5 linked regions of the Solanum lycopersicum genome follow. The protein of the gene in region 1 binds, or shares a complex with, the protein of each later gene. Links are inferred from orthologs where the notes say so. Each region holds a gene or a part of one and is shown in the gene's direction. Other genes may lie near its edges. The genes, in order: NAD(P)H-quinone oxidoreductase subunit N, chloroplastic; photosynthetic NDH subunit of lumenal location 1, chloroplastic; NAD(P)H-quinone oxidoreductase subunit S, chloroplastic; NAD(P)H-quinone oxidoreductase subunit T, chloroplastic; ndhI.

The links.
Region 2: NAD(P)H-quinone oxidoreductase subunit N, chloroplastic (region 1) and photosynthetic NDH subunit of lumenal location 1, chloroplastic share a complex: the UniProt entries of both Arabidopsis thaliana proteins name them as parts of the chloroplast NDH complex. The link is inferred for Solanum lycopersicum from reciprocal best matches to the Arabidopsis thaliana genes NdhN and PnsL1.
Region 3: NAD(P)H-quinone oxidoreductase subunit N, chloroplastic (region 1) and NAD(P)H-quinone oxidoreductase subunit S, chloroplastic share a complex: the UniProt entries of both Arabidopsis thaliana proteins name them as parts of the chloroplast NDH complex. The link is inferred for Solanum lycopersicum from reciprocal best matches to the Arabidopsis thaliana genes NdhN and NdhS.
Region 4: NAD(P)H-quinone oxidoreductase subunit N, chloroplastic (region 1) and NAD(P)H-quinone oxidoreductase subunit T, chloroplastic share a complex: the UniProt entries of both Arabidopsis thaliana proteins name them as parts of the chloroplast NDH complex. The link is inferred for Solanum lycopersicum from reciprocal best matches to the Arabidopsis thaliana genes NdhN and NdhT.
Region 5: the proteins of NAD(P)H-quinone oxidoreductase subunit N, chloroplastic (region 1) and ndhI are in contact, whole or in part, in a cryo-EM structure (PDB 7WFG), measured with the Arabidopsis thaliana proteins. The link is inferred for Solanum lycopersicum from reciprocal best matches to the Arabidopsis thaliana genes NdhN and ndhI. Residues at the interface, in NP_200634.1 of Arabidopsis thaliana: His81, Asp102, Ile103, Ser104, Ala105, Arg106, Gly107, Leu108, Gly109, Asp110, Pro120, Cys122, Pro123, Ala124, His125, Leu126, Gly127, Ile131, Arg133, Val163, Leu164, Ser165, Lys166; in NP_051113.1 of Arabidopsis thaliana: Tyr44, Ile76, Asp77, Leu78, Pro79, Val80, Val81, Asp82, Asn96, Ser98, Asp100, Ile103, Glu124, Glu126, Thr129, Tyr130, Glu134, Tyr137, Asn138, Ile140, Ala141, Arg144, Leu145, Pro146, Met147.

Annotation. Positions count from the first base shown.
Region 1 is NC_090808.1:66,281,815-66,286,847, forward strand, and holds the start of NAD(P)H-quinone oxidoreductase subunit N, chloroplastic, read left to right. Parts: upstream 1-1,863; 5' UTR 1,864-2,133; coding exon 2,134-2,272; intron 2,273-3,763; coding exon 3,764-4,128; intron 4,129-4,220; coding exon 4,221-4,337; intron 4,338-4,431; coding exon 4,432-4,517; intron 4,518-5,033. UniProt on the Arabidopsis thaliana protein: NDH shuttles electrons from NAD(P)H:plastoquinone, via FMN and iron-sulfur (Fe-S) centers, to quinones in the photosynthetic chain and possibly in a chloroplast respiratory chain.
Region 2 is NC_090809.1:53,936,752-53,940,699, forward strand, and holds photosynthetic NDH subunit of lumenal location 1, chloroplastic, read left to right. Parts: upstream 1-1,424; 5' UTR 1,425-1,571; coding exon 1,572-1,698; intron 1,699-1,776; exon of another isoform or gene 1,777-1,790; coding exon 1,791-1,877; intron 1,878-1,945; coding exon 1,946-2,019; intron 2,020-2,099; coding exon 2,100-2,222; intron 2,223-2,341; coding exon 2,342-2,413; intron 2,414-2,499; coding exon 2,500-2,596; intron 2,597-2,669; coding exon 2,670-2,773; 3' UTR 2,774-2,979; downstream 2,980-3,948. UniProt on the Arabidopsis thaliana protein: NDH shuttles electrons from NAD(P)H:plastoquinone, via FMN and iron-sulfur (Fe-S) centers, to quinones in the photosynthetic chain and possibly in a chloroplast respiratory chain.
Region 3 is NC_090807.1:67,427,121-67,430,513, reverse strand, and holds NAD(P)H-quinone oxidoreductase subunit S, chloroplastic, read left to right. Parts: upstream 1-1,672; coding exon 1,673-2,425; 3' UTR 2,426-2,549; downstream 2,550-3,393. UniProt on the Arabidopsis thaliana protein: NDH shuttles electrons from NAD(P)H:plastoquinone, via FMN and iron-sulfur (Fe-S) centers, to quinones in the photosynthetic chain and possibly in a chloroplast respiratory chain.
Region 4 is NC_090808.1:63,749,208-63,753,380, forward strand, and holds NAD(P)H-quinone oxidoreductase subunit T, chloroplastic, read left to right. Parts: upstream 1-1,833; 5' UTR 1,834-2,210; coding exon 2,211-2,602; intron 2,603-2,688; coding exon 2,689-3,109; 3' UTR 3,110-3,312; downstream 3,313-4,173. Other genes in the region: monothiol glutaredoxin-S2-like, read left to right, coding at 878-1,186; uncharacterized protein, read right to left, coding at 3,313-3,505. UniProt on the Arabidopsis thaliana protein: NDH shuttles electrons from NAD(P)H:plastoquinone, via FMN and iron-sulfur (Fe-S) centers, to quinones in the photosynthetic chain and possibly in a chloroplast respiratory chain.
Region 5 is NC_007898.3:119,536-122,433, reverse strand, and holds ndhI (NADH-plastoquinone oxidoreductase subunit I), read left to right. Parts: upstream 1-1,408; coding exon 1,409-1,912; downstream 1,913-2,898. Other genes in the region: ndhA (NADH-plastoquinone oxidoreductase subunit 1), read left to right, coding at 785-1,324; ndhG (NADH-plastoquinone oxidoreductase subunit 6), read left to right, coding at 2,317-2,847. UniProt on the Arabidopsis thaliana protein: NDH shuttles electrons from NAD(P)H:plastoquinone, via FMN and iron-sulfur (Fe-S) centers, to quinones in the photosynthetic chain and possibly in a chloroplast respiratory chain.

The DNA of each region.
Region 1 (5,033 bases):
AGTAACTTCTAAAAAAGGAGATAAACTAGGCTTTTAACGTAGATTTCTGCCTCAACATATGGAGCAAAGTTAGTAACCTCTAGATATTTGATCGAGTCATTCTATGGATTATATTTCCCCAAACGTGATTCAATTTTAAGCAAAATGTCCCCATTTGACAAAAAAGGGGCAAACCCTACAAACATGGTATAAATTCATTATGAGACTTGATAGTAAACAACTTTGTCCTAGATTCTTCAACTCCATACTCCGCATAACCCAGATGTCTGCACCCTGCATGTAATTACAGAACACAGAAAGATCACTTTTAAGCACTCCTAGTAAGAAATGACCATAATCATTAAAGTTAAAATTGCAGCGCTTTTCTATCTCTACACATTTCTCATCACACAAATCAATAGAAGAAATGTTCATGCCCATTTCAATCCAATGAAGTTTCCCTTACACAAGCTTACCCCGAAAATGGAAAAAAAATCTATCTTTAAACTCCGTTAATACGCCTCCCATAAACTCCTTAGACAATATATCTGGACCTCAACACGACATAGACGCATATTTCTGTAAACAGGGCAAACTCCCACTACGTTGTAATCATCTTGAAGCACATCAACGCAAAACCAAATCTGCTATCCCCAGGTTCCTCCACTTGATATCCACCACATCGATTAAGTCTATAACTAGGCAACTTGCTATACTTTCTAATTGACGGATTCCATATAAACAAGTCATGCAATTTGTTACATAGGCAACACAAATCAATCTGTTTACCGAACCCACCAGCCAAGGATAGTCTTTGGAAATTTTACCTGGATAATCCAAGTCAATTACCTCCTTTACAGAATGGCGATGTAAATCACTACACATAACTAGCCAACATAAATAGCAACCTTAAACATAACTCCTTGTTACTAGCACAAAATAAGAGATGCGTCTTCACAAATTTAGGGATAGAGATTAAGGAAAGCCAAGATTTCGACACAGACCTGAATTGTAAAAGGGATTTCACCGGAAGCCTTAACAAAACTAAATCTTTGCTTGAAATGGACTGAATTTCCATGGGTTTGCTCCGCTTTGGGAGGCTTCGTCCTCTTTGGATTCCATTTGGGTTTTGCAGAAATGGGAAATCTTTGAGGTTTCGATAGGGAGATTACTATATAAAAAGCCCTAAAGTTTGTCTTTTTTATTTTCCCTCTTACAACAGAGCTGGTTTTAGTTTTTATGTTTTAATACTATATAAATAATATTTTCACTGGTAATTTATATTTTAAAATCATTATATATTGAGTGTTGGTTATATTTTGTTATCTTAAACAACTTATGTCTTATAAGGTATAAATTTATTTTCAAAATATGATGCAGGAATCAAAGCACCATAGTACGTGTTCTAGTTAAAGGAAGGAGATATATGTGCTCCAATTATTTTTGGAGTTCTGTTATGTGTTTCAAAAGTTTTACTAGTAATTATTGTGAAACATTGTCTTTTTTAGATGTTAATGGTCGTATCACAATTCATATTTTATCTGTGGTGAACGTTCTTACTCCTTATGAATTTTACAATGAATACTTAACTTTGTTTTATTTTAAAAATTCAAAATATAAAAGAATAAAAATTAATTTATTTGAAGGACAACTTATGCAATTAAATAGGATGTTTGGAAATTTCATAATCTTTACTTGGATTTTGGATTTTCAATCCAAAATATATAAATTAGGTTTAAGTTTGGCTTTTGTTCTTTTCTAAATCACAAAATTATTTCATTAAAAAAGTTACAATAGAGTTTGAACTCTCACCTTATGATTATTATTCTAGCTATGTTTGAATATACAATATAAAATTAAAATTTGAATAACTAATTTGAGATTATGTTATCTCAAATTTTAAATTCTCCCCAAAACATCATTTCAATTTTTAAAATATAGAACTTATCCCATAAATTTATATAGCTAATATTATTATGCATATTTAAATATTTGTTATTTGTAATTTCTTTATTGTAAAGTTTATCAGCACATTTATTGAGTGGCAAGGAACAAAGTAGTCATCTTTGTCCAAGTTTGCAATGGTCCTTCCACAGTCTCTGTTGCTATAGCTGCCTACTGCCACCACTCACACACTGCCACCAAAATACCCAAATGACAACTCTCTCCTACACCTTCCCTAGCACCACCAGCAGCAGCAGCAGCACTAGGAGGTTCTTGATTACTAGCAATGGGTCTTCTTGCCGGCGGCGCCCCAATATTTCCACTGAAGACCAACCCTGTTCCTCTTCAGGTCATCCCCAATAACCCCTTTCTCTGTGTGTGTGCGCAGTGTGAAGATTTATAATGCTTAATTGATATTATGGGTTGTTACAATATCTTGATATTAGGGTGATCACTAAAAAAGTGAAAAGATCAAGACTTTGTAATAATATTGCATCTGTGTGAGGTGGGGTGTTAATTTTTATTTTTTTTTAAAAAAAAGGGGTTCATATTGGTGGTTAAGGCTTGAGCACCTCCTACCTTTGAGGTAGTTTAGATAGGCCTAAAACTTAATTTTACATGGTATGAGTACCAGGTTCATTCCCGGTGTGAGCTTTTGGTTCTCGCTCTCAAGGGGCCTAAGCGTGAAGGAGGGTGTATGGTTTTGCGATTGAGTTAGGTCCGGATGACAATATCTTTACGGACTTGATAACTTAATGGTTGATTCAAGCTTGTTAAATGTAAATATTAAGTTATGTAGGGAGTGGAAGTATGCATTTTACTTAATAATGTTTTGAAGTTGTGTACAAATTCAGCTTCAACTCACATTTGTTCCCAATTTTCAGCTTTATGGTTCAATATCATGGTGTGTGTGTGTGTGTGTGTGAAGATGTATAACGTTTAGTTGCTATTATGTGTTGTTATAATATCTTGATATTAGGGGGATGGTTAAAGAACTGAAAAGATCAAGACTTAACTTAATGGACTATTCAATCTTGTTAAATGTGAATATTTAGTTGAGTAGGGAGTGATATGTACACTTTACTTAATTCTGTTTTTAAGCTATGGTTTGGGTGTGTAGAGATTCAGCTTCTACTCGCATTTGTTCCCAATTTTCAGATTTATAGTTCAATATCACGGTGTGCGTGTGTGTGAAGACGTATGCTTAGTTGCTATTATGTGTTGTTACAAAATTAGGGTGATGGTTAAAGAACTAAAAAGATCAAGACTTGATATCATAATGGGTGATTCCAGCTTGTTATATGTAAATATTAGTGGGGTAGGTAGTGAAAGTGTACATTTACTTAATTATGTTTTGAAGTTTTGTTTTTTGGGTGAGTAGAGATTCAGCTCCAACTCACATTTGTTCCCGATTGTTATTGTTTTACATGGTATGAAATCCAGACTTTCCCTAATATTGGTCTATAAAGCTGAAAATGTTTGTGCTTACTGTTATGCACTGTCACATTAAGCAGTGCATTGGCAATGTTTCTAGCCATTGTTGACAATGGTAAAAACTGACTTCTGGTTCTCGAGTTTCACAGGTTGCTTACAGTAGGCACCCTTTCAGTTCTCCCTGTAACATAATCTTATCAGTTCTCTTTGGAAAATGACTTATTTATAACTTTTTCTACCTTTTACATGTGGAAATGCACACTTGCAGCACCAAAATGATACTGTTATCCTGTTCGCATTAATTAAATTTTGAGAGTGATGTCTTAACGTTCAATGTTTTTCATTATGATGCCTTTGTTCTTTCGGTCATGTACCATGAAATCTGAATTAAAATGGCAAAATGCAGCCTGTTATCAAGGGGCAGTGCAGTCTTATGGTCTGCAGAAGCAACGAGTACAATTAAATGGCATATCAAAGGCTGTGAGAACGAGAAGACTTGATTCAGTTGGAAGACAAAAGAAAGGAGCAATTAGATGTAACATTGAACTTCAGGACTTCATAGGTGGAGATCTCATTAAACCTGATTTGGGTCAATGGTTATCAGATGTGGAAGAACACAAAGCCATAGCAATTTACTCTCCTCATGAAGGGGGCTATGAAGGACGCTACCTTACACGTCTTAAGTACCAGGGATATCATTTCTTGGACCTTTCGGCTCGTGGCCTCGGTGACCCTGAAACCACTCTTACCAAATTCCACCCTGTCTGCCCTGTAAGTTTAGCAGTTCGCATACGATATGCTTATTCTCAAACACTAACTTGCAGTGTCTAATTGACTCTCATCTGCAAATTTTGATGTTGCAGGCTCATGTTGGTAAGCAACCAATAGCTAGATGGTATTTTCCTCCAGAAGTTGATTATAGGCTTTCTTTACTTCCTCCGGATGCTAAAGGATTAGTGGTTTGGATAATAGAAGCCAAGGTTAAATCCACCCCTTCAAGTGTACATCATCTAATTAGTCCATCAGCAGTATTTTGACTAGATCTTTGTTAACTGTTTGACCTAAAATGTTCAGGTCTTATCAAAGGCAGAGCTGCAGTTTCTTGCTTTACTCCCGACACTTCGTCCTAATGTGAGGGTCATTGCAGAGTGTGGTAACTGGTAAGATTTTCCTTTCATCTTCCTTTTTCTTGTTTATCAATCAACTCTCTTGTAAATAAGGAAACTTTGAGATCTTGTCGTTGTGGTTAAAACAACATTGTATGCAAAAGCTACCTGGATTTACTTCAGTTTAGCCTTCTGTGGTCAATGCTACATACTTTATCATCATTCTTAGCTTGTAGATGCAAGAGTCAGGACAAGTACTTTAATAAAGATAGCATCTTTTGGTTTTCTTTTTTTTCATCTTTTTAGAATTGCCGAAGGTCAATAGTAAACAACCTCTCTACTTTTGAGGTTGGGCTAAGGTATACATACACTCAACCCTCCCCATACCCCAATTTGTGGGACTACACTGAATATGTTCTTGTTGTTCATCTTTTTGAGAATTGAATTCCCTTCTATTCAAGAGGTGCATGCTCATGTTAATTTTTGAATATATGTTCATTACATAACTATTCTATTTACATCCCCTTGAGCTGCGGCCCTTTCCTGCACCTTGCGTGGACACAAGATCCT
Region 2 (3,948 bases), on another chromosome or scaffold:
AAGTTGAAAATGAGTTGATAAACAACTGAAATTCAAATGACCTCTTACAAATTAGAAAATATTGTAATAAAGACTATGGTAAATGTTGACCTTAACATATCGACATGGTCATCTCTCATGAAGCTTCAAATGTCTCGTGAAAGATCAACTACGATAAAAAAAACATTTGCTTCACAAATACTTCAAGGCTTGTCTTTACAAGTTCGACAAATCAAGCACCTCAACAAGCCTCAAAGTAGGGGCATTTGTAAACACTGAAGTTTTATTGATAAATCCATATTACATTTGGATTAAATCTTAAATCACCATATGTTGACCAAGTCAAATTACTGGTTGATAAAGTCTAATTAATATCTAAGCCAAAATTGTATGACTTAAATCAAGTCCAAATCATTTGGATCATTCCATTAAGTTGACAAGATGAGCCCAACTCATGTTCTTCAGGCCCAGGGATCAAAATTGCTCAGACCAAAATACCCTAAAGCCCTAACTCAAGCCTATATAAAGAGGTATTCTTCTGACCAAAAGGACAAAAAAAAATACATATACACAGGAATACATAATTGCTTTTCAGCATATAAAGAAGTCTTCGCTCCAAGGGTTGAGCCGCAAGTATTCCGCCAAATCAATAACATCTGTGAAGAGAAGAATCAGGGGATTAAATATCTTTTTGAGATATTTTATAAAGATTGTAACCTTAGTATTAATTCAAATACAAATATTATTGTTTGCTTGCTATTTTTCCTTTCCTGTATATTGTATTTCAGGATTGAAACTTTAGACGCATACACTGAGATTTGGATCATCCAAGGTACATTAACATGGCGTACTCCACCCCTGGTACCCTTTGATCATTCTTCAATTATATTTGGCGTTGCATTTACACAGTTGATGAATACCTCCACGCTAGGATGTAAATTGATCATTGATGCATCGCCAGTTGGATTTCCTTTCAAATAGCTTGTGCTATACAGTGATTGAAAGAACCTGTGCTTGGTTTTTCCACATCAACATGGGTGCATTTGATATCACATTTCATATGGTCGAGTTGTTAAAGTATCATTATCTTAAATTCTTCGAAGTCAATTGTTAAGGTTTTTAGCATTGATCAACCCATTAATTTTTAAGTTATAAGTTTACATTTACTATCTATTGCAATTTTGATGAATTTTTACACATAAATTTATATTTCGCATTAAAAGTACTGAGTTCAGATAAACTCGGTATCAATACATTAGATCCGCCTCATCCATCAAGGATTCAAGTTTGTGCTGTTGTTACATACAGATATTTATGACATGGTAAACTTGTGAAAAATTTGCAAGAACAATTAGTAAAAATTATCAATGTGGATATAGTCAAATTTTAGCCCCACATATGAAGCACAGCTCATTTAGTTGTAGTTGAAAGAGACATAAAAGCCCATTTGGACCTTGGCAGGAAAGGTCATCCTCACATTTAATTTGCATCTTATCCTATTGAGCAAGAAAAAATGATGGAAAAAAAAGTGATTGTATTAGGAGAAAAAATAAACATGTTAAGCAAAAATCTAGTGATTTTTGTCCACAAAAATGGCAGCTACTTCACTCTCATTGAATCTTGGGCTTCCATCACCAGCAGCCAACAATTTGAATAGGCATGGCTTACACAACATTATTACATGTTCGGCATCAGAAAACACGTCCCCTAATCAACAGAGTAAGAAAATTTCATATCGATCAATTATGAAGTCATGTTTGCATTTACGCCATTTTCTCCGTGGTAAAATTCTACTAGTATCTCTGTTTCAGGATGCTTGATGAGAAGGTCATATCTATTAGGAGCAGGGGCTCTTTCGTTGGGTTTATTATTACCCGCGACTCCCCTTCTAGCTCAAGGTACTCTGTTACTATAATTTTTATTCTCTAAACTTTTTACTTTTTATAATTAAATGACGTGTATGCAGGAGTACCGGAGAACTATGAAATCTTTGTTGACAAACGAGATGGTTATTCGTATTACTATCCATCAGATTGGAGGGTATGTTGCTTCTTTTTTTTTTAAGAAATGAATTTTTAGAAATTAGTAAACTCTCATTTTGACTTTGGATGTATGTACAGGAATTCGATTTCAGAGGTCATGATTCTGCATTTAAAGATAGGTATCTACAACTGCAAAATGTAAGACTTAGTTTTATACCAACTGATAAAACAGATATCCATGATTTGGGGCCAATGCAAGAGGTAAATCGCGGTACTATTCATCTATGTAGCCGTTTTTTATTAAGCTATCAAGGAGGAGAAAAATATAAAAAAGACATGTATTTTCTTCGTCATACCAACTTATTTCTACTTTCCTAAAGGTTGTGCCCGATCTGGTAAAACATGTTTACTCTGCACCGAATCAGGTGGCAAATATAATGGAAATGAAGGAGGTATGATCCTTTCTTATTCTCTTGATTGTACAATATACGTAGCTCTTTTTCAATTAGTCACCATATTTTTGTTCAAAATTATGTAGAGAACTACGGATGGGAAAAACTATTTCACCTTTGAATATGTATTGACATCTCCAAATTTTTCGCGGGCAGCATTTGCTACTATAGCAATTGCAAATGGTAAGTGATCTGGTTTGTTTCCTTTAACTGTACATTACATTTTTCTGCATTCGTATTAAGACATTTCGTACAGGGAGATACTACACATTAATCGTGGGAGCGAATGAAAGGCGATGGAGAAAATTCCGCAACAAACTTAAAGTGGTGGCTGATTCATTTCAGGTGTTGGACATTTAGAATTGTTCTAAGAGCTGCAATGATAGAGTCTTGTTCCATGAAACAGGATTTGCAATTTGTTTATTGAATTACAGTACAAAGAATGTTTCTGGCTATCCCATAAGTAACTGAAATCCCCTTGTAGTTGAAGCGGTGAAGTGTTAACGACAAATTTTAAAGTGATGGAAAATAAAGCACAAATAAAGTACGGCATGATACATATCTAATCTTGGTTTCAAATTTTAACTTTGACCTCCAACGTTCATAGTAAACAAACAAACACTTCAATTATCTAACCCTTTAATAAATAAACACGCGAGTCGTACCTGGCAAACATGTAATGTGCATGTATTTTGTGCGAGTTAGGAGTAGTAATTTTTGAGGTCCACAATGGTAAAAAAATGCTGAAATAACAACTCCACCATTAATGAATCCCTTTTATATATTTTTTTATATTTCCAAATCAAAATTCATTTAAATTTTTTTTAAATTCTAAAATGGACGCATAAAATATTTAATTAGTTGGCAGTCATTGAGTGGCTCACTAATATACGTGGGAGCATTTGCATTTCACTCTCTTTGTCTCCAAAAATCGTGTGTTTATTTATTTAATGGTATGATAGTTTAAGTGTCTATTTGTGCACTATTAAAGTTGGAGGTCAAAGTCAAAATTTGAAGTCAAGTTTAGGGTCCAATATATGTATTATGCCTATAAAATATGATGAAACACAGTTTTTCATTGGTATTTGCGAGTATAAGTTCTCTTGATTTTTCTCTCTGAATTAAATCTGTTATTCGAGGGTGGTTAGTAACATATTTCTCGAATATATGATAATTTGGACCTCTTTGAGATATATTTGATTGTAAGGCAATATTTGATGTCTTGATCTCTTTGTGAATATTCTAGGAGTTTATGACATATTTGACATACCTCTTCAAGGGAATATATTACCCTTATATAAACGTGAACTAGGTTTTAGAATAAAGTAACTTTTACCCTTATATAGGCGTGAACTAGGATTTAGAATAGAGTAACTTCTGTGAACTGTAACAAAGATTGAGCTCGTCTTGTAGAATCACACAAAATTTTGACGAGTTTGCTTTTTTATCCTAGTTAGACAATTTGGGTATATTACTTGTGAGAACCAAATCCTTAATAAGCATACTCTGCAATCAATAGTCATTCATATATGTTG
Region 3 (3,393 bases), on another chromosome or scaffold:
GCATTTTTTCTAAACACCACTTGTGTTTGTTGTTGTTTTGAGTCAATTTCTACAAATACATTCTCGAAACATTCAATGTATGATATTGTTTATTCGCACAAGTAAATGTAAGATTTGAAGTTCACATTGAAATTGTTTATTCGCATAAGTAGATGTAAGATTTGAAGTCCATTAATTTTTACGATAATTTTAAATTAATAGTATATATTAATTATTGAATTTATTATCAAATATTTAATGAATCCTATAGAGACAAAAAAGAATTCTTTTCGTCCCCATTCTGGCTATTGATAGGAATAATTTACGCTCCAATTTATGCAAATTCAATGTGTACACTATATACACCTTTTATCAATACTTATTATCTCTAAATTGTGTTTAATAATGTATTAAAGAAAAATGGTATGAAATAGCAAAATATGTTATTCAAATTAAATAATATAGCTATGATTTATTTTGTTTGTAATTTGTCACAAACATTCCATTCTTTTGTAATCTGATTCGCTATACAATTAGTCATTTCCGATATATAATTAGACATTTTATATATTTCGATATAGAATGTATAAAATGTGTTTGTGTTTGTATGAAACGAGAGAAAAGATTATATACAAATACATACATACATACATACATACATACACACACATATATATATATATATATTCGTTCTATATACTTATGATTATATAAATCTAGATCTTATTATACAAATTACAATTTATAAATGAATTTATACAAAACTGAACAATCTGAATAAAATTGGATGTATCTAGCGAATTATACAAATCAAAAACTCCATAGCAAACATAAAATTTATTATGGAACGCAATTATGCAAACTATATTTACAACATACAAATATGATTTTTATGTTTGCAATTTGTGAAAAATTACGTCTTTAAAAAAACAACTTTAGAGGCTATTTAGATGAACTTAAAAAGTAACTTTTAAATCAAAAATAAAATGTCAAACTTAAATGATTTATAAGTTAAAAAATAAAAGGCAGAGGAAGACCTACTTTTGATTTTAAACTTATTTTAAGTCATTTTAAAGTTATTTTTAACTTTGTCAAACACTTTCTGACTTATTTTAAGCCATTTTTTACTTACTCTAAGTTATTTTTTATATTTATCGAACACTTCCAAAAATAAAAATAACTGACTTTTAAATCAATTCAAACGCCCTCTTATTTAATCAACTATATCTTCTACAAGACCCCTTTCACATGTGTGGTCCTGACTTTTAGAAATTCCTTTTGATAACAAATAGCAACATAGCGCGAATCTAATACCTCTATATACTCTGATCATCAAGTTAAATCATATGATCATTTTTTAAAAAAATCTTAAATTATTAAAGAAAAACATAATATATCTCGTGTAATTTCATAAATGAATATAAAAATTATAATTTACTTTTAACGCAATTCCTCACGTGTGGTCCTGATTCTTTTTGAAAGGATGGTGTAAAACATGAGTGCAAGTTTAATCTTTTTCCAAGGAAGATAACATCATTCATGTGTTTCATTTGTCAATAGAAGATATCAAAACAAAAACAGATTGGTGGTCAGAATTTGAAAGGACAAATTACAGTTTCCCATTTCTACTTCTCATCTCATCCTCTACCATCATCTTTCCCAAATCCAAAGTTCTTGAAAAAAAATCAAAACCATGGCTTCTGCTTCTTCCTTTCAACTCTCAAGCCTTCAAATTCAAACCCCACCTCTTAAAAAATCAAACTTTCTTGGTCAATCTGTCAATCTCAACCTCAGTAGTAGTGTTCATACCAAATCAGCTATGAAATCATCTTCAAACTCAGTTACACCAATAGCAAAATTCAATCTTTATGAGATTCTTGGAGGTAGAGGTCTGTGTAATGGAGAAGAGGGTATAGAGAAAGAGCTAAAAAAGTCGATTTCCGAAGAACAAAAGGCAGTAGGATCAGCAGCAGCAGCAGCTAGTGATGATGATAATCAAGAAAACAAGGAGACTGGGGAGATACCGGAGGACGGATTTGAGAAAGAAATGATGGGGTTTACTGGCGGATTTCCGGGAGGTGAGAAGGGTCTAATGAAATTTATAGAGAAAAATCCACCACCACCACCACCCAAGAAAACAGAATCAAGTATGGTTTCTGGTTTTAATCAAAGTCTTGTGAAGAAACCAAAGCCACCTGAATTGCCACTTTTGTTACCTGGGATGATTGCTATTGTCAAGAATTCTAATAATCCATATTATATGTATTGTGGGATTGTGCAGAGGATTACTGATGGTAAGGCTGCTGTGCTTTTTGAAGGTGGGAACTGGGATAGGTTGATATCTTTCAGGCTCGAAGAACTCGAACGTAGAGAGAAAGGACCGCCAATGGTGAATCTTAAGTCTGTGATACTTGAGAAGATGGTAGAAAAGAGCTCTGAAGCTTGAATTGCTTCAGTTTTTGAGTAGATTGTTTGTTCTTTTGTCTTTTGGGTTGTTGTACATACAAGCTGTAAGTTTTGTAATGGCAATGGCATGTAATAAGAAATGCAGAAAAACTTTTGTGCAGGAAGAGTTCTGTCCCAAATGAGAAGTTCAACTCTTAGCAGTGATGTTCGAAAGAACTCTTAACAAAAACAACGTAAAAAATAAGAATCAGGTAATTCAAACCACTTGCAAAACATATAGTCAAATATTTAATATGATTGCACAAGATCTAGTTTTGTTTAAGTAATGAATCCTAGCATGTTCTTCTGATCAATTCATAGATCATTAGATACCATCAGTAATGAGGATCTGAAATATCACACGTTTTATCGAGCAAAGAGAGAGTCTAGCAGAACAACAACATACAGTATTTAACAGTGAGTGATAAAACAATTCTTACTTTTCACAAGCATGAGGTACCTCTGACACCACATATGGTGGATCTTAGACTCCATCCAATTGGACAACAGGTCGATATCGATGTAGATAAGTTCAATAATGATAGCTAGCCTGAGAGAGAGTATACAATGGTGCAAACTGCAAGATTTTGACAGATTCTCAAACAGATGGACCAAAATTTTATAATGCATAGTCTGCAAATGTTTACATTCAGTATCAAGGTAGTAAGCCAATCCACGCATTAGCCTCCAATGTCTAATGATCATTAATTAAAGATGTCATTTGCAGAATACACTTATAATTCCAGAAAACTGTGTCAGTTATACCATACATGCAAAAGAAATCACCCAAATGTAAGCCAGACGTCGAAAAACTATGTCCTCTGTCTGCACATCTTCGCCTCAAAATTAGTTGCAGCCACCTAACTGTAAAAGTGGAGAAACAGTTTTAAGGGCAGTTATTGGCAGATTTTCATAGAATTATCTCTAGAACAAAATTGTTTGGCTTGAACTTAACAAATATGGCATCAT
Region 4 (4,173 bases), about 2.5 Mb from region 1:
ATAGGCCAACATTTGGTGCAACGTGTTACTATATAATTAATTTTTTGACCCTATTAATTAATTTCCTTTCTTCAAACGAATAACGACCATTATTTGCTTTAAAGGGGTAAACCAATTTTTTTTAATCATTTCCAAAAAACAAAAAAAAAATGAGATGGAATATAAGAATATCATTAGTAGATAAAATTAAACACCTTTTTCCTTGCAACATCGTCAATTCCATTAATATCCTTATCAATACGAGGAAGATATTTAGCGGTAATTAATTAAGATAATTATTTAATTATTATTAAATATGTATTTTTAGTGATAATTTAGTATTTTTTTTATAGCATTTAGTAACATTGGATTTAATAGCACTTAACTAATGTCGATAAAAACTTTAACACTCTTTACTAATATATTTATTTACTTTCGTTAAAAGTTATTTTTGAATTAGTGTATATACATGTTTTTAACCAAAAAAGAGATAATTTATTGATTGTAAAACCCATGTGTTTAATTAGAAGAAGAATTTATATTGGAACTTAATTGGAAAAAAAATATGTAGATATGTAACAAAGTTCACTTACTAGCCTCCATACTTTATGGTGGATTTTTTTTTTATATATATATTTTTGGTACACTTTTAAGACAGTATCAAGAACTTCTAATGCTATCTAACAGTATCAACTCCTTATCTAAAAAATTATTCCTTCCTTTAATTTATTTGGGTGGGGGGGGGGGGGGGGGGGGGGGTTTAGAGGAAGCATATTGAATCTTCACAAGTCACTATTAGTATATAAATAGCTTCAATAAGAGTTTCAAATTCATCATCAATTCAACAAGTTATCAATTCTCTTATATTACATTAATCTTTTTTTTTCATTAATTAAAAATGGAGTCATTGAAAAAAATGGTAGCTGAAAAGCCAGTGGTTATGTTTAGCAAAAGCAAGTGTTGTATGTGTCACACTATAAAGACACTTATATCAAGTTTTGGTGCTAATTTAACTGTATATGAATTGGATGAACTTCCCAATGGGCTACAAGTGGAGCGAGCTCTGCTGATGCTAGGCCGAAGGCCTAGCGTGCCAGCAGTGTTTATTGGACAAGAATTAATTGGCGGTGCCAATGAGATTATGAGTCTTCATCTAGAGGGAAATCTTGTTCCTCTACTCATGAAAGCTAAAGCTCTTTGGCTATAGTGTGTATATATATATATACACTTTTTTTTTTGCTTTACATATCTAGTATGCGAAATTTACTGGCATGATTAGTTCAGACTCACGCTAGTAAAACTACAATATATCATGTAGAAAGTGCATATTAACACCTTGTAAGTTTGGTTTTTCTTAATGTTTGTGGAATTGAGCATCTTTTATTTAGTATGCTCAATGAAAACTCTGTTTTCTCAAACAAGTGTCTTTTAATGTATCTTTAAGCATTGTAATAATAAATTATATACAATGCCATACTTCAACATGACTTGTCATTCTGTTTTAATTATTTTTGTTAGATGCTTGAGTATGAAGTTGTGTTTCCTCGAGATGTGAATCCAGGATTTAAAGTTTGTAAATTCGGAATCTATTCAAAAAAGTAAAATATGTGATATTTGTATAATGATCCTGCCTTGTGAATTGAAAGCAAGATAGATTTAAAAAGGGTTAAAAGAACAACTTGGCTCTCTTTTATTTGCCACAAAAAAGAAAATAAATTACATTGACCTCCACTTCAACAATTCAAAAAACAAGTTACGAGTTAGCTCATCCTATAAAATTAGTTTAAATATATGTCAGCTAACTTGAATATCATGATAATTATATAAAAAGGAAAATATAGAGACAAGGGGTGTGTTGCGTTCCGAACACTAACTCACAAACTCATTCTTTTTGCCACCCAACTCCCAAGGAGTATGATTGTATTTATAGGTGGCAATGAGCGGGTAAGACTGAATTTGTTCGGGTTAAAAATGAGCTGAGTTAATAAATAGACAGGTCATTGATCCGCCCAAAAGTTACTTGGACTGAAATGGACTAAAACGTGGATCATAACTCAACCTGTCCAACTTACTTTTATAATTTTTTTAGTACCTTAAAGAATGTATATAAATTGTCTTGAAGTTAAAGAGTACAAACGTCAAAAATCAAAATTATTGATATTTCACAAATGTAGACAAAAAAGCAAACAAAATGTTTAGTTATTTCCTCAACCACACAGAAAGACAAGGTGATGAGAAAGCCCCTCCCTCTAAGACTACTCAAATCAGACACAAAACAAATTTCCAATTCCATGGCGTCAGCAACAGCTCCACCAGCTCCATTCACCTTTCTTACAAGGAACCAAACCAATAATGAGCACAGAACAGATACCAGATGGTTGACAACAAAACAAAGAAGACGCCGTGTTGGCTTACAAGTTTATGCAAAAGAAGAAGGGGCTACTGGGCGACAACGTGCTCCTCCTGGTGTTGACACAAGAATTCACTGGGAAAACGAAGATGAAGGATGGGTAGGAGAGAGTAAGTCACGGTCCACACAAGAACGAATCAAAACAGACGAAAAGAATCTCTTTGATGAAAAATTCTCAGACCTCCTCAACAGTTCAGCTAATTCTCACTACCAGTTAGTCTTCATTATCTACTTTGCTATCTTCATCTTATCTCTTAATGTGTGGCTCACAGTTCATAATTCTAATGTTTCAAATTCAGGTTCTTGGGAGTATCTGCAACAGCTGATCTAGAGGAAATTAAAGCTGCATATAGGAGGCTATCAAAGGAGTATCATCCAGACACAACTAATCTTCCTATAAGAGCAGCATCAGAGAAATTTATGAAACTAAGAGAAATTTATGATGTCCTGAGTGATGAGGAACAACGGCGATTCTATGATTGGACACTAGCTCAGGAGACAGCAAGTCGAGAAGCAGAGAAAATGAAAATGAGGCTGCAAGATCCACGCATGCTGGAAGTAGAAAACTGGGAATCTGTTCCAGACATGGTGGATCGACTTGGTGGAAGGAACATGGAGCTGAGTAATCAGGCAAAAACTGCCCTCACATTTGATATCTTGATTATCATCTTTTCGTTTTGCTGCATTATATATGCAGTAGTCTTCAAGGAACAATATTAACAGGAACAACTATGTGCATTATACAACAACAATATTCTATACTGTCAATACGCAGTTCATACACTGCAATGACAATGGATTGGGAAACAGAACGACTAGAGCTTTAGTCATAAGTATAACTATAGTTTATTTCTATTGAGATTACAAATTTACACTATTGTCTTTTCATGAGATTATTGACAGCAAATGAAGAAACAATTCTCTCATACATCAATAAAATCTTTCATGATGGGGCTATGTTTCTCAATGTTAGCCTGCCTACGCCAATTACTCACTGCATGCTTAACGGTGTCACTGGCTTTCTGTATTTCCTCAGCAGAAAATTTGTGTTCCACAATGCCTAGTGGACCAGGTTGTAGTACCTTAACTACAGTTTCCATATCCAGCTCCAGTTGCCTGTTAAAACAAACACCAAAATAATGCTGAAAGACATGGAAATTCATATTCACAATTTGATCTTTGTGTCTCATTCTGGTCTAAAAGAGAATATTAGGAAAATCCAATTGAAGAGTGCTTTGAAGCGCACGTTCCTATCAATCTGCATTTAGATACCTACTCTTCAATCAATAAATAATAACAAAGAACAAGAAAACACCAACGGTCATGCTAATTGCTAAATAGAAACAAGAGTTTCTCGTTTCTTGATAACACAACTCCGTAATTCTCAAGAGTTTGATAACAACTCCGTAATTCTCAAGAGTTTGATAAGTTCTAAAATTTCACTTACTCTTCAAATATCAAATGAATTAACTAATGTAATCCTACAACAGAAGTTGGCACCTTCTCTCAACCAAAAAGGAAAAGAATACTTCTATGTTATAATAGTATTAAACTGCCATACACATTGTTTTCTGTAAGATATAGAACTCCCAACACTTGGACCTTTTTCCTCATAAATGTGGTTCTGGTCCAAGCTTGTGCCACACTGACTAATTCCACTGGGTACCAGCTACTTCTCACCAGTGCAGGTACCAGATAACTCTGCCCAAGCTCATGAATACAAGTTATGCTTTGGAATGAAAGACAATTCCAAATCCTCTTGGTCTACGAACAAGAAAGCTATA
Region 5 (2,898 bases), on another chromosome or scaffold:
TTTGAAACAAAAAATGAGTGGATGGTTAGGAAGACTAAGATACACAAAGGATTAGTAATTGAGATTATGTAAGTTATCCAAGAGGATATTTCTGTACATAAAAGGAATTCAAATTGGGGCTTTACGTTCGTAGAAATGATCAAGAAGTACTCCCCATGATTCTGATCCAGAGTATGTTCCTATCCACTGAGTAAGTAACTAACTATCAAGAACGAAGTAATCTTTTACTTTGGTTAAAGACCCTTTTTCTGAGAAAGGAGAATAGGAATGAAATAAAAAAATCGAAATAGAAAGAAAAGAAGCTAATTGCAAAAGGAAAAAGGAGGGATGTCTTTTTTTGTTTTTATTCTTTCTTTCCTATAATTCAATTTTTATTTCTATTTAGAGAGATAAAATTTTTGTCATGATTCATGAACTAATGTACTCTCTAATTTTTTTCGTAATTGAAAATTCGAGGTTGAAATGTATATGTGATATTGCTATAAAGCACATTTTTTTATTTAATGATAAGGTTATTAATCAACAAAGAAAAATTAAAATTCTTAAAAGATGAGATAAATTCAGAAGCACTTATTTATTAGTTTTAAATATAGCAGACAGAATTCCATTGGTCTAATTTGGGACCTTAGAATAGATTTTGACTCTATCTGACAAACATATCAAGATAAAGAATAGGAAAGGGCCCTTAGATTTAGTTGTGACCTCTGAGGAGCCGTATGAGGTGAAAATCTCACGTACGGTTCTGTAATAGCGATGGGCACAGTGATGTTATCATCGACTATGATTATCTAACAGTTTAAGTACAGTTGATATAGTGGAAGCGCAGTCAAAATATGGTTTTTGGGGGTGGAATTTGTGGCGTCAACCCATCGGGTTTATCGTTTTTCTAATTTCTTCTCTCGCCGAGTGTGAAAGATTACCTTTTGATTTACCAGAAGCAGAAGAAGAATTAGTAGCAGGGTATCAAACCGAATATTCTGGTATCAAATTTGGTTTATTTTACATTGCTTCATATCTGAATCTACTAGTTTCTTCATTATTTGTAACAGTTCTTTACTTGGGAGGTTGGAATCTTTCTATTCCGTACATATTTGTTCCTGATATATTTGGCATAAATAAAGGAGGTAAAGTCTTTGGAACACTAATTGGTATCTTTATCACATTAGCCAAAACTTATTTGTTTTTGTTCATTCCCATTGCAACAAGATGGACTTTACCGAGGCTGAGAATGGACCAACTATTAAATCTTGGGTGGAAATTTCTTTTACCGATTTCTCTAGGTAATCTATTATTGACAACCTCGTCCCAACTTCTTTCACTGTAAAAGACCACAATATCCTAGATTCACGACTTGTCTCAAACAAGAGAAAGAAACAAGCATAAAATCTTTTTTATAGATATTCAACATATGCTCCCTATGATAACTGAATTCATAAATTATGGTCAACAAACAATACGAGCCGCCAGATATATCGGCCAAGGTTTCATGATTACCCTGTCCCACGCAAATCGTTTACCTGTAACTATTCAATACCCCTACGAAAAATTGATCACATCGGAACGTTTCCGAGGCCGAATACACTTTGAATTTGATAAATGCATTGCTTGTGAAGTATGTGTGCGTGTATGTCCTATAGATTTACCCGTTGTTGATTGGAAGTTGGAAACTGATATTCGAAAGAAACGATTGCTTAATTACAGTATTGATTTTGGAATCTGTATATTTTGTGGTAATTGCGTTGAGTATTGCCCAACAAATTGTTTATCAATGACCGAAGAATATGAACTTTCTACTTATGATCGTCACGAATTGAATTATAATCAAATCGCTTTGGGTCGCTTACCAATGTCAGTAATTGATGATTACACAATTCGAACAATTTCGAATTTACCTCAAATAAACAATGAATAAACCCTTAATTTGATTCAAAAAAATTACAAATTACGAAGGCTTAGTTCGGATCTAAAACAATGAGATTTTTGCTTGGGCAATTCAAACTAGTGGTTTCTTAATGAGACTCCTAGCTTAAGCTTAATTTAGATTGAAAACAAAACCGAGTTCAATATTATATATTATAATAGTAATGGTTTCAAAGTAGATAAATGATATCAAAAATAGATAGGTTTAAACTCCTCTTTCGACGAATAAAGAATGGATAGTGGTCCAATAAAATAAAAGCATCTACGTCAATTCATACCCATTAGACTTTCATTCAATTAACAATTTCAAAGTATCATAAAAAATAGAAAAACTGCTTTTTTCCTGGTCAGGTCAATAAAGTCATGAAATTCTTCGTTTTTGATTTTTTATAAAAAATGGATTTATCTGAACCAATACATGATTTTCTTTTAGTCTTTCTAGGATCGGGTCTTATATTAGGGGGTCTAGGAGTGGTATTACTTCCCAATCCAATTTATTCGGCCTTTTCCTTGGGATTGGTTCTTGTTTGTACATCGTTATTCTATATTCTATCTAACGCCTATTTTGTAGCTGCTGCGCAGCTACTTATTTACGTAGGAGCTATAAATGTTTTAATCATTTTTGCTGTGATGTTCATGAATGGCTCAGAATATTACAAGGATTTTCATCTTTGGACCGTAGGAGATGGAATTACTTCGATGGTTTGTATAAGTCTTTTTATTTCACTAATTACTACTATTTCAGATACGTCATGGTACGGGATTATTTGGACTACAAGATCAAACCAGATTATAGAGCAAGATTTTCTAAGTAATAGTCAACAAATTGGAATTCATTTATCAACAGATTTTTTTCTCCCATTTGAACTTATTTCCATAATCCTTTTAGTTGCTTTAATAGGTGCAATTGCTGTAGCTCGTCAATAAAAAATTTCTATTAAAACTTGGAATTCAAATAAAATTTTGTTCTGTCTTATC